3 linked regions of the Astyanax mexicanus genome follow. The protein of the gene in region 3 interacts with the protein of the main gene of each other region in a pairwise test. Links are inferred from orthologs where the notes say so. Each region holds a gene or a part of one and is shown on either strand. Other genes may lie near its edges. The genes, in order: stk19, hivep1 and bhlhe40.

Region 1 (3,757 bases), on a different chromosome or scaffold from region 3:
AAGAGAAATTAAACAAAAAAACAGGGTTATTGCTCTAAATATTGATTATTTCTGAACTCTTAAAACTTTATGAATATAAACTTGTTGTTTTCTTTGCATTATTTGAGGTCTGAAAGCTCTGTTTTTTTATTTTGTTATTTCAGTCATTTCTCATTTTCTGTAAATAAATGCTCTAAATGAGAATATTTTTATTTGGAATTTGGGAGAAATGTTGTCTGTAGTTTATAGAATAAAACGACAATGTTCATTTTACTCAAACATAAACCTATAAATAGCAAAATCAGAGAAACTGATTTGCATAAATCAGTATATATTATACTATGCATGAAAAAAGTTTGAACAGGAGTTAAAACTGTGCATCATAAGATTATCTTTAAAAACCATGATACAACATTTTGACATATTATTCAGCTATAGCATGATTTAGTGCATGATTTCTTAAACCCATTTGCTTTTATACTGTTTATACAATATAATAAAAATTATTATATTATATTAAAATATATTGTAATATAAATGTTGGCCATATCTTTCAGCACTACACAAAAGACAATATTACAAGGAGAAAAAATGGTCTATAAATAATCCTTAAGAAAATAATTCTGATTTTATAAGCATAATATCTGAAAACCTAGTTGTACAAGTTGAGGGGAAGCACAAAAACGTTCAGTAAGTAATATGGGATCCCCAGAAAAAAAATGTATTAAAAATACATTTTAAAAATATTACCACTTGCTTGTCCACCAAGGTTTTGTCGCTGTGTAAACTGTAGAGCTGGTGCTTGAAGACGATTTGCGGAAGGCTGTCGTTGAAAAGTTTGCGAGGAAAAAGAGTCATGAGATACTGAAGTGTGGCCTTAACATCAGGAGGTCCATCTGCTTTACACAAAAAAAGAGAAAACAGATTAAAAATATATATAAATATACCAAAAAATCTGAATCTACATGAAGTTTGGAGTTCTGTAGTGATGGACAAGTTAAGTAAATTTAAACTAATGGTAACTTGGTTAATTGTTTAAAAGTTTTGTATTTTGTTGGTTATTCTGGTTATATTTATTTGAGCTTGAGCTAGTTACACAATCACTAATTTCTGGCTAATAGTTTTCTAATGTCAGCTAGCTTTGTGGATATGTAAGCTTTTTTAATATTTATATTTTTATGACATTGGGACACAATAAAGGTGAGCTGGGTTTGTCAGTACATTCACTGCCAATATAACTAACTTAAAAATCTAGTTATTAACCATGTGATCTAAATTCAAACTACAACTAAACTTACATTCTTTACTAAACTCCCTCAGTTAGGAAGAAACATGATGTAATATAATGATGTTATCAAATCTAATGTAATGTAATTTGTAATGCCATTACGTATCCATTTTTTACTTATTTGCTGTTGAGTTACTAGCTCAAAATAAGTACTCAGTTTCTAAGAATTATAATTTAGTATCTCAGAATAATGATTCATTATCTCAAAAATGAAGATTAAGCAACTCCGTGTAATGACTTAGAATCTTACAATAATTACCTAATATCTTAGAATAATAACTTAGTATCTCAGAATAATGATTTAGTATCTCAAAATTAAGATTAAGTATCTCAGAATAATGACTTAGTATCCTATAATAATGACTTAGTATCTCAGAATAATGACTTGGTATCTCCAAAGAATGACTTAGTATCTCAAAATAAAAACACATCGTACCTCAGAATACAAACTTAGTATCAAAGAACGACTTAGTATCTCAGAATAATGATTCATTGTCTCAAAAATGAAGATTAAGCAACTCCGTGTAATGACTTAGAATCTTACAATAATTACCTAATATCCTGGAATAATGACTTAGTATCTCAGATTAATGACTTAGTATCTCAAAAAACGACTTAGTGTCTCAAAATAACGACTTAGTATCTCAGAATAACGACTTAGTATCTCAGAATAATGACTTAGTATGTAAGAATAATGAATAAAGTACCACCAAAAAATTAAAAGTTAGGAAGAAACATGATTTAAAAATAGCTTACATCTCAAATGTAATGTAATGTAATTTGTAATGTCATTACATATCATTACTTACTTACTACTCACCATTATATTTCCCATGTAAATATTTTTATCACTAAAACACAACATTAGTTATTTAAATCAGGGAGGAAAAAGCTTGAACCAAACATAAAACTTCTTACCTTGAGTATCTCCGTGTTCTGGATGCCCGTTAATATTATCAGCCCCGAATCTTCGCTTTTTCACCCTAAACGCGTCCGGGATTAATGATCTTTTTCTGTTCATATCGGAGGAGAAGTTTAATAACAGCAGCAGAGAAAACTGAGGTAAATTAACCGGAGTTAGCCACCATGCTAACGCCACGTTCATTAAAATACCACCAAACTACGGCCTGAAACTTCCGTTAATAAACTACATTCATTTATTTACACTGAATTATGAAGGACACGGTAATTTACTGCAGATTTTAACGCTGTTATTGGTTAATGATTAGCTAGAAAATAAGAGTTTATTAAACTAGCTTTAGGTAAACAGTGGAGTTCTGCTGGTTCTGACTGAACCATAGAGTCTCTAATAGAGAGAGACTGCCCACTTGAGAATGGGTTGTAAGTGTGTGACCACAGGAGGGCGCTCCGGAGTGAGGCCAGAATGAATGGGTTCCTATGGAGCGATTGAGCAAAATAAAAATAATAATAAATATATTAATATTTAATATTTTTATACTAAAATATATCGAAGCCCATTTTGGCCAACTAAAAGGTTTTGTTTCCTTATAATTAAGTAAACTGATATCTAATCATTTCGAGAAAGTAAGTCATTATTTTGAGATACTATTTCATTATTTTGAGATATTGAGATATATTGAATTGTCATACTAAGTTATTTTGAGATAGCAAGTGTGTTGGTTTTGGAAAAACGCTGTTTTCTTTCAAAATATGAATGACTTAATACTATCTGTAAATAATGAGGGAGTATCTGAAAATAACGACTTTTTATCCAAACATAATTAATTTGTATCTCAAAACAATGACTTAGCCTCTCAAAATAATGAGACAGTATCTCAAAATAATGAGACAGTTTCTTAACATAATGACTTACTATCTCAAAATCATGACTTACAATCTCAAGTCAAGAGTTATTAAGAGATAATGAGACAGTGAGATAATGAGACTGTTATCAAGAGAACAGTATCTCAACATCATGACTTACTATATCAAATAATGACTTATTATATCAAGGTAATGAGATAGTATTTCAAAATAATGATTTAGTATCTCAAAATAATAAGATGGCAATTTACTTAATCATAAGAAGAAAATCCTGGATTTTTTTTTATTTTAGGTGGCGGGAATAAACTTCCATGTAAAGAATATTTTCTTTTTCTTTTTTTCAAAACAGAACAAGTTTACATGTTTCAGTACTGAAGACATATTTTTTAAAGCTTTTAAACTTCAGATAAAAGCCCTCAGCGCACAATAGCAGTAATGCTAGCGCCTTCACGGACTAAAATCCGTTTACTAAAGAAAAAAAAAAAGGTATGTTGTCTTTGCTTTTTTAGCAAAATACTTTATTCTACTCTCCGAAATCAAATTAGTATCTGACCAAGTGATTAATTACTATTTATAATTAGAGTTTTAACCGTTTAGCTCCATTCACCCCCATTCATTTTGGTCTTACTCGCGGGCTCCCTCTAGCGGTTTACAGTAATATACGGATATAACGGTAGGTAGGGAGTGGGCAGTCTCGCCATAAAC
Region 2 (3,757 bases), on a different chromosome or scaffold from region 3:
TTGGCAAAATGCCATTTAAACTAAAGTTAGAGACAGTCAAGACAGTCTAGTTAGTTGAAATAATAAATTAAATATGTACATTTTATCTCTACGGTGTAATCAGCTTTATTAAAAATATGTTGCAACTTATCTTTCCAAAAAATCTAAATACCAACATTAAAAAAAAAATAAATACAAATAAATGTCCTGTTCTATGTCTGTTTTATAAATGTTCTATTAAATTTTTAGATTGTTTTTTATTGTTAGACTAACCTTATATTATTATTAGATTTGCATTACTTTATCATTATTTTATCACTAGATTAGTTTTTTCACCGCTATTTTATTGTTAGAATAGTGTTATTTTATCCTTAGATCACTGTTTTTTATTATTAGATTAGTGTTATTTCATTATTATTATTTTATTGATTTATTGTTTGATTATCAGTTTTTATCATATAATTACCGTTTTATATCATTAGATTACTGTTTTTTATTGTTATATTATAATTATTTTATTTTTATAAAAAAAATACATATTTTTGGATTAGCATTATTTTTGCATTATTTTATCGCAAGATCAGCATTATTTTATCGTTAGTTTACCATTTTTTTATTGTTAGATTAGCCTTATTAATTGTTACCATTTTTTATCACTATAGTTATTTTTGCAATATTTTATCGCAAGATTAGCATTATTAAATTATTATATTACCATCTTTGGTACATCTTTGTTTTATATATTATTATTATTATTATTATTATTATTAATTACAGTTCTGTTTTACTTCAGTTTTATAACATTTGCGTTGATTGAAGGATGTGTTTTATCTGTTTGGGGTTAATGTAATGCTGTCGGTGTTGTCGGCCGTCGCGGGCCCCCCCCGCGGTCGCTTCCCCCGGTCAGGGGGCGGAGACGGGACCCCCGCTGACGTCAGAGGGCCTGTCGGTTTCCTGCAATAGAAAGTGAGCGAGGGTAAAAAAAAAAAAACAGAGCTTCCCTGCGCTGGATGTGTTTATGATACAGGTACGTGTTCCCTCAGCGCGCGCGGGCACCTGTACGCACCTGGCGCCTGCGAGCACGCACACAGGTAAACAGGTAAACCGCGAGCTTGTTAGTACGCTAGAGTGACGTAACGCGCCGCCCGTGGTTCGTGGTGCTGGCGGCGGCGGCTCGTGTGTGTTTGTGCGCCCGCTCCGCCGTTGAAAACGCGCAGTGTTTGTTTTACGTTATTAACGCGCGCTTAACGTTTTCCCGGTACCGCGCTCCGGGGGGTTCGGCGGTGGCCAGGTGAGGGCTGGCGCGCGCTCCCGAACCCGGGCCGTGTTTTGTGGCTCACCGGAACGCCTCCGTTTCCTCTGTTTTGGAGTAGACGTCTGCAGCATGTTAATGTGCTCTGTGTGTGTGTGTGTGTAATGTTTATCAAGCCTGCAGCAGAGCTCGCGAGCTGTTGAAGAAGACACCCTGATGACGGTAGATAGATAGGTAAGCTAAGCTCGTGATTAACGCGGAACGCAGCGCGCGGACGGCGTTTATACGTGGTTTTGGTCGGTAGGGAGGAAGCGTGTTTTCGGCGTCCTGTTGCGGAGGACTCGCAGGGGTTTTCCCGGCTCCTCCCTCCACCACCTCCTCCTCCTCCTCCTCCTCCTCTACCGCCGCCGCTGCTCCACCCGGTCATGCCTTTCTGTCTGCATGTATGTTCACTCAGAACGTTTACACTGTTGCAGTAGCGCGAGACACTGTTACAGGGGGTTGCTACGTTGTTGCACTAGCTCGTTACACTGTTAGCAGGGCTTGATACAGTGCTCCAGTGGGTGGAAACATTGTTGCAGGGGGGAGTGTACACTGGGACACTGTTACTCTGGGTGGCTACAGTGTTCCATGGGCTTGATGCACTGTTACAGGGTTTGCTACATTGTTAAATTAGATCAATAAACTGTTACAGGGGTTGCTACATTGTTAAATTAGATCAATAAACTGTTACAGGGTTTGCTACATTGTTAAATTAGATCAATAAACTGTTACAGGGGGTTGCTACATTGTTAAATTAGATCAATAAACTGTTACAGGGGGTTGCTACATTGTTAAATTAGATCAATAAACTGTTACAGGGGGTTGCTACATTGTTAAATTAGATCAATAAACTGTTACAGGGGGTTGTTACATTGTTAAATTAGATCAATAAACTGTTACAGGGGGTTGCTACATTGTTAAATTAGATCAATAAACTGTTACAGGGGGTTGCTACATTGTTAAATTAGATCAATAAACTGTTACAGGGGTTGCTACATTGTTAAATTAGATAAATAAACTGTTACAGGGTTTGCTACATTATTAAATTAGATCAATAAACTGTTACAGGGTTTGCTACATTATTAAATTAGATAAATAAACTGTTACAGGGTTTGCTACATTGTTACACTAGCTCGTTACACTGTTAGCAGGGCTTGATACAGTGCTCCAGTGGGTGGAAACATTGTTGCAGGGGGGAGTGTACACTGGTGCATTGTTACTCTGGGTTGCTACAGTGTTTCATGAGCTTGATACATTGTTACAGGCAGTTGCTACACTGTTGCACTAGCTCAGGACACTGTTAGCAGGGCTTGATACAGTGCTTCAGTGCGTGGAAACATTGTTGCAGGGGCAGTGTACACTGTTACTCTGGGTTGCTACAGTGAGCTTGATACACTGTTACAGGAGTTGCTACATTGTTAAATTAAAGCAACCAATAAACCGATAGCAGGGCCTGATAAAGTGCTCCAGGGGGTTGAAACAATGTTGCAGTAGCTTGATATGTTGTTGCAGACGCATGGTACATTGTTAGAAGGGGTTGCTACATTGTTTCACTTGCTCAGTACACTTTTAGCATGGCTTAATATAGTGCTCCAGTGGAAACACTGTTGCAGGAGCATGGCACGTTGTTGCTCTGAGTTGCTACTGTGTTTCATGGGCTTGATACACTGTTACAGGGGTTGCTATATTGTTACATTAGCTCGCTACACTGTCAGCAGGGTTTGATACAGTGCTACAGGGGGTTGGAACACTGTTGCAGTAGCTTGAAATGTTGTTGCAGGGTCATGCTACACTGTTACAGGGGTGGAAACATTGTTGCAGGGGCTGATGCACTGTTACAGGGGTTGCTACATTGTTACACTAGCTCGATGCTCTATTACTCTGGGTTGAAACACTGTTGCTGAAACTCTATATTAGTGCAGGGGCATGGCACACTTTTACAGAGGTTGCTACATTGTTACACTAGCTTGATAAACTGTTACAGGGTTTGCTACATTGTTGCAGATGCTTTGTACACTGTTACTCTGGGTTGCTACGGTATTCTATGAGCTTTATACATTGTTAAAGGCATTTGCTACAGTGTTATGGGGGTTTATACATTGTTGCAGATGCATGATACACTCTTACAGGTGGTTGATACACTTACCATGGCTCGATGCACAGAAGCTCAATACACTGTAACTTTTGGTTGAAAAACTGTTACAGGGGTTTGCTACATTGTTGCAGATGGCAGATACACTGTCCCCATGGCTTAAAACATTGTTATATGGGTTGCTAAATTGTTACACTAGCTTGATACACTGTTACCAGGGCATTTCTACACTGTTACAGTGGCTTGCTAGCTACATGCCTGGTTCATAGGGCTTGAAACACTGTTACTCTAGGTTGATAAAGTTTAATGCATTGTCTCATGCAGTTGCTACATTGTTACACTAGTCGATATACTGTTACCAGGGCTTGATACACAGTTATTCTGGGTTGAAA
Region 3 (3,757 bases):
GCTGTGGGGGGGATGAGGTAGAAGGGCATGCAGAGCGGCGGCTGGTGGGGCGAGAAGCTCACGTACCCGCCGTGCGACTCGTGACCCGACAGAGACTCGTCCTCGGACGAATCCGACCTGACCCGCTTGGCCTGGGGCTCGTCTCGCTCCTCCTTGATGCTGCCGTACCGGCCGTGCTTCATCTCTGCGGCGTCTTTGCTGTAGTAGCTGATTCTCTGGCCTTTGGAGTCTCGTTTGTCCAGCTCGCCCCCGTAGCCGCTGTCTGTGTCTGTGTCGCTGCCGCTTTGTTCGCTGATCTGGGGGTTGTACGTTCTCTGAATGACCGGGACACAGTTTTTGGCGTGGCCCTCCGGCGAGCAGGGCTGGGGAGCAGCTGCCTTCTCCCTGGCCTCTTGACCCTTGCGACCAGGCGAGGGCGTGTCCAGGCGGGGGCTGGCTGGACGCTGCAGGAGCTCAGCAGCCACTTTGTGCAGGTGGTTGACAACGTGTGTTGGGGTCAGGTCCCGTGTGCTTTCCAAGCTGGCCAGATACTGGAGTACCTCCTTGGCACAGAGATGGAAACCGGAACGGAACATCTCTTCGCTGTTTTCTGAGCTGCCATTGCTCTGATCACCTGCAGAACAGATAGAAAAAAAGTAGAGCATGTGTTAATAATAAGTTGAGAGAAAGATTTCAGGATGCAGGTTGCATCAAAAACATTGGACTGATGTGAACTCATGCACAAGAGAGAACAAACACAAGTGACAGAAGTTCTGAGAACAGATCGCCGTGTTACTCAGAAAGCAGGAAAGCAGGAAAACGGCTTTACATGAAGTGTTTATTTTAACTTACCAATTTGCATTCCGCTCTGCAATGAAATGATCTGCTGCTGCTGCTGTTCCAGAAGGCCGTTGAGGGCTTTCACATGCTTTAACGTGAGCTCCAGCACCACGGCCTTCTCCAAATGGCCCAGCGTCTAAAAGAGGAAGCACTCAGATAAGCATGTTGATCTTTCTTATGTAACGCTCCCTCAGCTGCCTCGCCGAGGACAAACTCTCCGCCAGGCGAGAGCGACACTGAGACGCAGCGGGCATTGCAAAACATCTAACAAACCTAAAGCCTAAGCTTAGACTTGTTAAAAAACATTTCAAACTGTTTTAGTTCAGTTGAGATTCTACAAATTATATTTAAACTTTTTTTAAACTTCATGAGCATGCAAACTCAAAACTTGTGCTTGTGCATGCACCATCCTGTAAATGTATCACGGTCAAGCAAGTCAACCGCAATGAATAGCCAAGCGAATAGATAACAAATGAGTATACTAAACAGTCAAGTCAATAAATGCTTCGAATGCACGTCACAGCACAAAATAAAAGTGTGAAAAATAAGAAAACTCCTCCAGGTCAACCACCAGAGGACGCTTTAGAGCTCTGGTGCTCCACACACTCACTCCAATCCACTCCCACAGAGCTATACTTACAGTGAGTTTAAGGTGTTCAGGGAGCAAATCCTTCAGCTGAGCGATGCACTCGTTTATTCTGTCACGTCTCTTCTTTTCAATCAAGCGATGTGGCAGCTTGTACGTATCCTGTGGTGAACAAACAAGAGCATGTTCATTTTATAATGTTTAAATTAAAACTAGAATTAAAAGTTTACTAAACTACTATTCAAAACTTTAAAACATTTAAAAAACGATAAGCTCTAGCTGTGCAGCTTGCATGCGTGGGGCATGGACAGATAGATAAATAAATAAATAATCAATCAATTCATTCATTCATTAAATGCATATACAGGAACTTTTTTCTACAAGTGTAATGTTGTGAGCTGCACAAATGTATTAATATTTTATTTTGTTTAATTCCTTCAATTATAAATATTTCTGTATGTTTTAATGAATATTATTAACTAAATTAATAGCAGTGTACAATGTGTATAATATATATATATATATATATATATATATATATTCACCCATATATTTGATTGTTTTTTAAGTATTTACCTTGCTGTCGTCTCCTCGTTTCATGCCTCTCCGAGGTTTGTACACATACATTGGGAAATCCATTCTGAATAAGATTTGGAAAAGGGGAGAAATAATGAGAAAATAATAAAGAAAAAGTTAGTAAAATGACATTAAGTTGTATTTTTAGAAATATATGTTATAAGACTTGTTTTTCCCTATTTTAAAACAGATTAAAATGATTTAAGTTGCCTAGAAAGCCTGTGAGTCCAAATCCGTCCCGGGATTTCGCTCCAAGCTGCAGCAGAGCCGCCCAGGCAGTTGGAGCGAAATCCAGGGGCGAATTCCTACTCAGAGGACCTGAAATTGCCCCATTTCCAGCTACTTACCCCGGCATATCTGAAATATCCATAGAGGGGTGTTTGGTCATACACGGTGGAGGCTGTGCGCTTGTAATCCTTTCCATTTCGTCTCGTTTACGCGTAAAATAACGCAGGAAAAAACGATTTCTAACGAAAATGAAGCCGAAACAGCTTTTAAATGCTCATAAATTGCCAAAAACGAACTTGTTCTCAAAGAAATCCGCAGGGAAAGTGCATAACGTCCTTGCGTAAAGGTGGTTTGTCGTCAACTCAGACAGTTTTGAAGCTCCTCTCCTGTTAAATGTTTGTGTGAGAGTGTGTATGAAGGAGGAGTGTGTGTGTTGTATCTAGAGCTATATGTGTGTGGGAGGGTGAACTGGACTAGCTACGTGTTAAATAAAAAACCCTGTGACTACAGACACGTCTCTCTCTCTCTCTCTCTCTCTCTCTCTCTCTCTCTCTCTCTATCCCTCCCTCCCTCTCTCTCTCTCTCTCTCTCTCTCTAAACTGACCTACCTCCGTCACATGAGCCTCACGTGTTGGACGGCGCTGTTCCCCCCGCCAGTTCTCAGGACACTTCTTTTGTTATTCCCACCCGTTTTTCGGCACGCCCCGCCCCTAGCTTCTCCCGATTGGCCAGCGTAATCCCATTCAGTCCGTTCAGCCCGCCAATCGCAGATCAGCAGCGCGGAGAGGCACGGGTGGGCGGGGCTAAAGGATAGAGAAAAAAAGAAAACGTTCCAGAAGGTCCCCAGCCTGTGTCGCGTGTACCACCACGCGCTCTCTCGCTCGCTCGCTATCGCGCGCTCGCTCGCTCTCACACAGCGAGTCAAGCGCGCGCGAGCGCCGCTTACTACACAACAACAAGAACACGCACAAGAACACGCGCAGCGATTATTTCGTGTTTTTTTTGTATTTTGTTTTGCTACTTTAATCATGAACAGCAGAAAATAGATAGATGGAGACAGACAGACAAACGGAAGAATAAAAATAATAATAACAATTATAATATGCATATTTAGCATGATTTACAGCAAATAGTGGCTTACTTAGATAGACAGACACAGTTGGATTACAGATAAATACATAGACTGTTAGATAGACAGATTTTTTGTTTTTTTAATAATAAAAAATGTGTTTTTAGTTTATTATAATAGCAACAATAACAATAATATGCTTAGCATGATTTGCAGCATTATTTACAGCATATAGTGGTTACTTGGATAAACACAGTTTGATTATAGATAGATCGATAGATAGACAGACATAAATATTGTTATAATAAAATGTTTTAGTTAATAATAACTAACATTTAATAAAATGCTTAGAAGGATTTGCAGTATTATTTACAGCATGTAGTAACGTATGCAGACAGACTGACAGACAGTTGGATATAGATGGATGGATAGAAGTACAGACAGACGATTGGATGTCTCTCTCGCGCATGAGTCCACAC

What was found.
Region 1: the proteins of bhlhe40 (region 3) and stk19 interact in a two-hybrid assay, tested with the Homo sapiens proteins (2 studies listed by BioGRID). The two-hybrid records come from large-scale screens. The link is inferred for Astyanax mexicanus from reciprocal best matches to the Homo sapiens genes BHLHE40 and WHR1.
Region 2: the proteins of bhlhe40 (region 3) and hivep1 interact in a two-hybrid assay, tested with the Homo sapiens proteins (2 studies listed by BioGRID and IntAct). The link is inferred for Astyanax mexicanus from reciprocal best matches to the Homo sapiens genes BHLHE40 and HIVEP1.

What each region holds. Positions count from the first base shown.
Region 1 is NC_064426.1:43,023,891-43,027,647, forward strand, and holds the start of stk19 (serine/threonine-protein kinase 19), read right to left. Parts: upstream 2,583-3,757; 5' UTR 2,373-2,582; coding exon 2,186-2,372; intron 879-2,185; coding exon 730-878; intron 1-729. UniProt on the Homo sapiens protein: DNA-binding protein which is required for efficient transcription-coupled nucleotide excision repair (TC-NER). Acts as part of a TC-NER complex which assembles and interacts with RNA polymerase II (RNAPII) when it stalls at DNA lesions.
Region 2 is NC_064410.1:63,706,508-63,710,264, forward strand, and holds the start of hivep1 (zinc finger protein 40), read left to right. Parts: upstream 1-925; 5' UTR 926-1,006; exon of another isoform or gene 1,007-1,070; intron 1,071-1,282; exon of another isoform or gene 1,283-1,465; intron 1,466-3,757.
Region 3 is NC_064431.1:29,017,215-29,020,971, reverse strand, and holds the start of bhlhe40 (class E basic helix-loop-helix protein 40), read right to left. Parts: upstream 2,708-3,757; 5' UTR 2,406-2,707; coding exon 2,329-2,405; intron 2,046-2,328; coding exon 1,982-2,045; intron 1,568-1,981; coding exon 1,460-1,567; intron 956-1,459; coding exon 832-955; intron 614-831; coding exon 1-613. UniProt on the Homo sapiens protein: Transcriptional repressor involved in the regulation of the circadian rhythm by negatively regulating the activity of the clock genes and clock-controlled genes.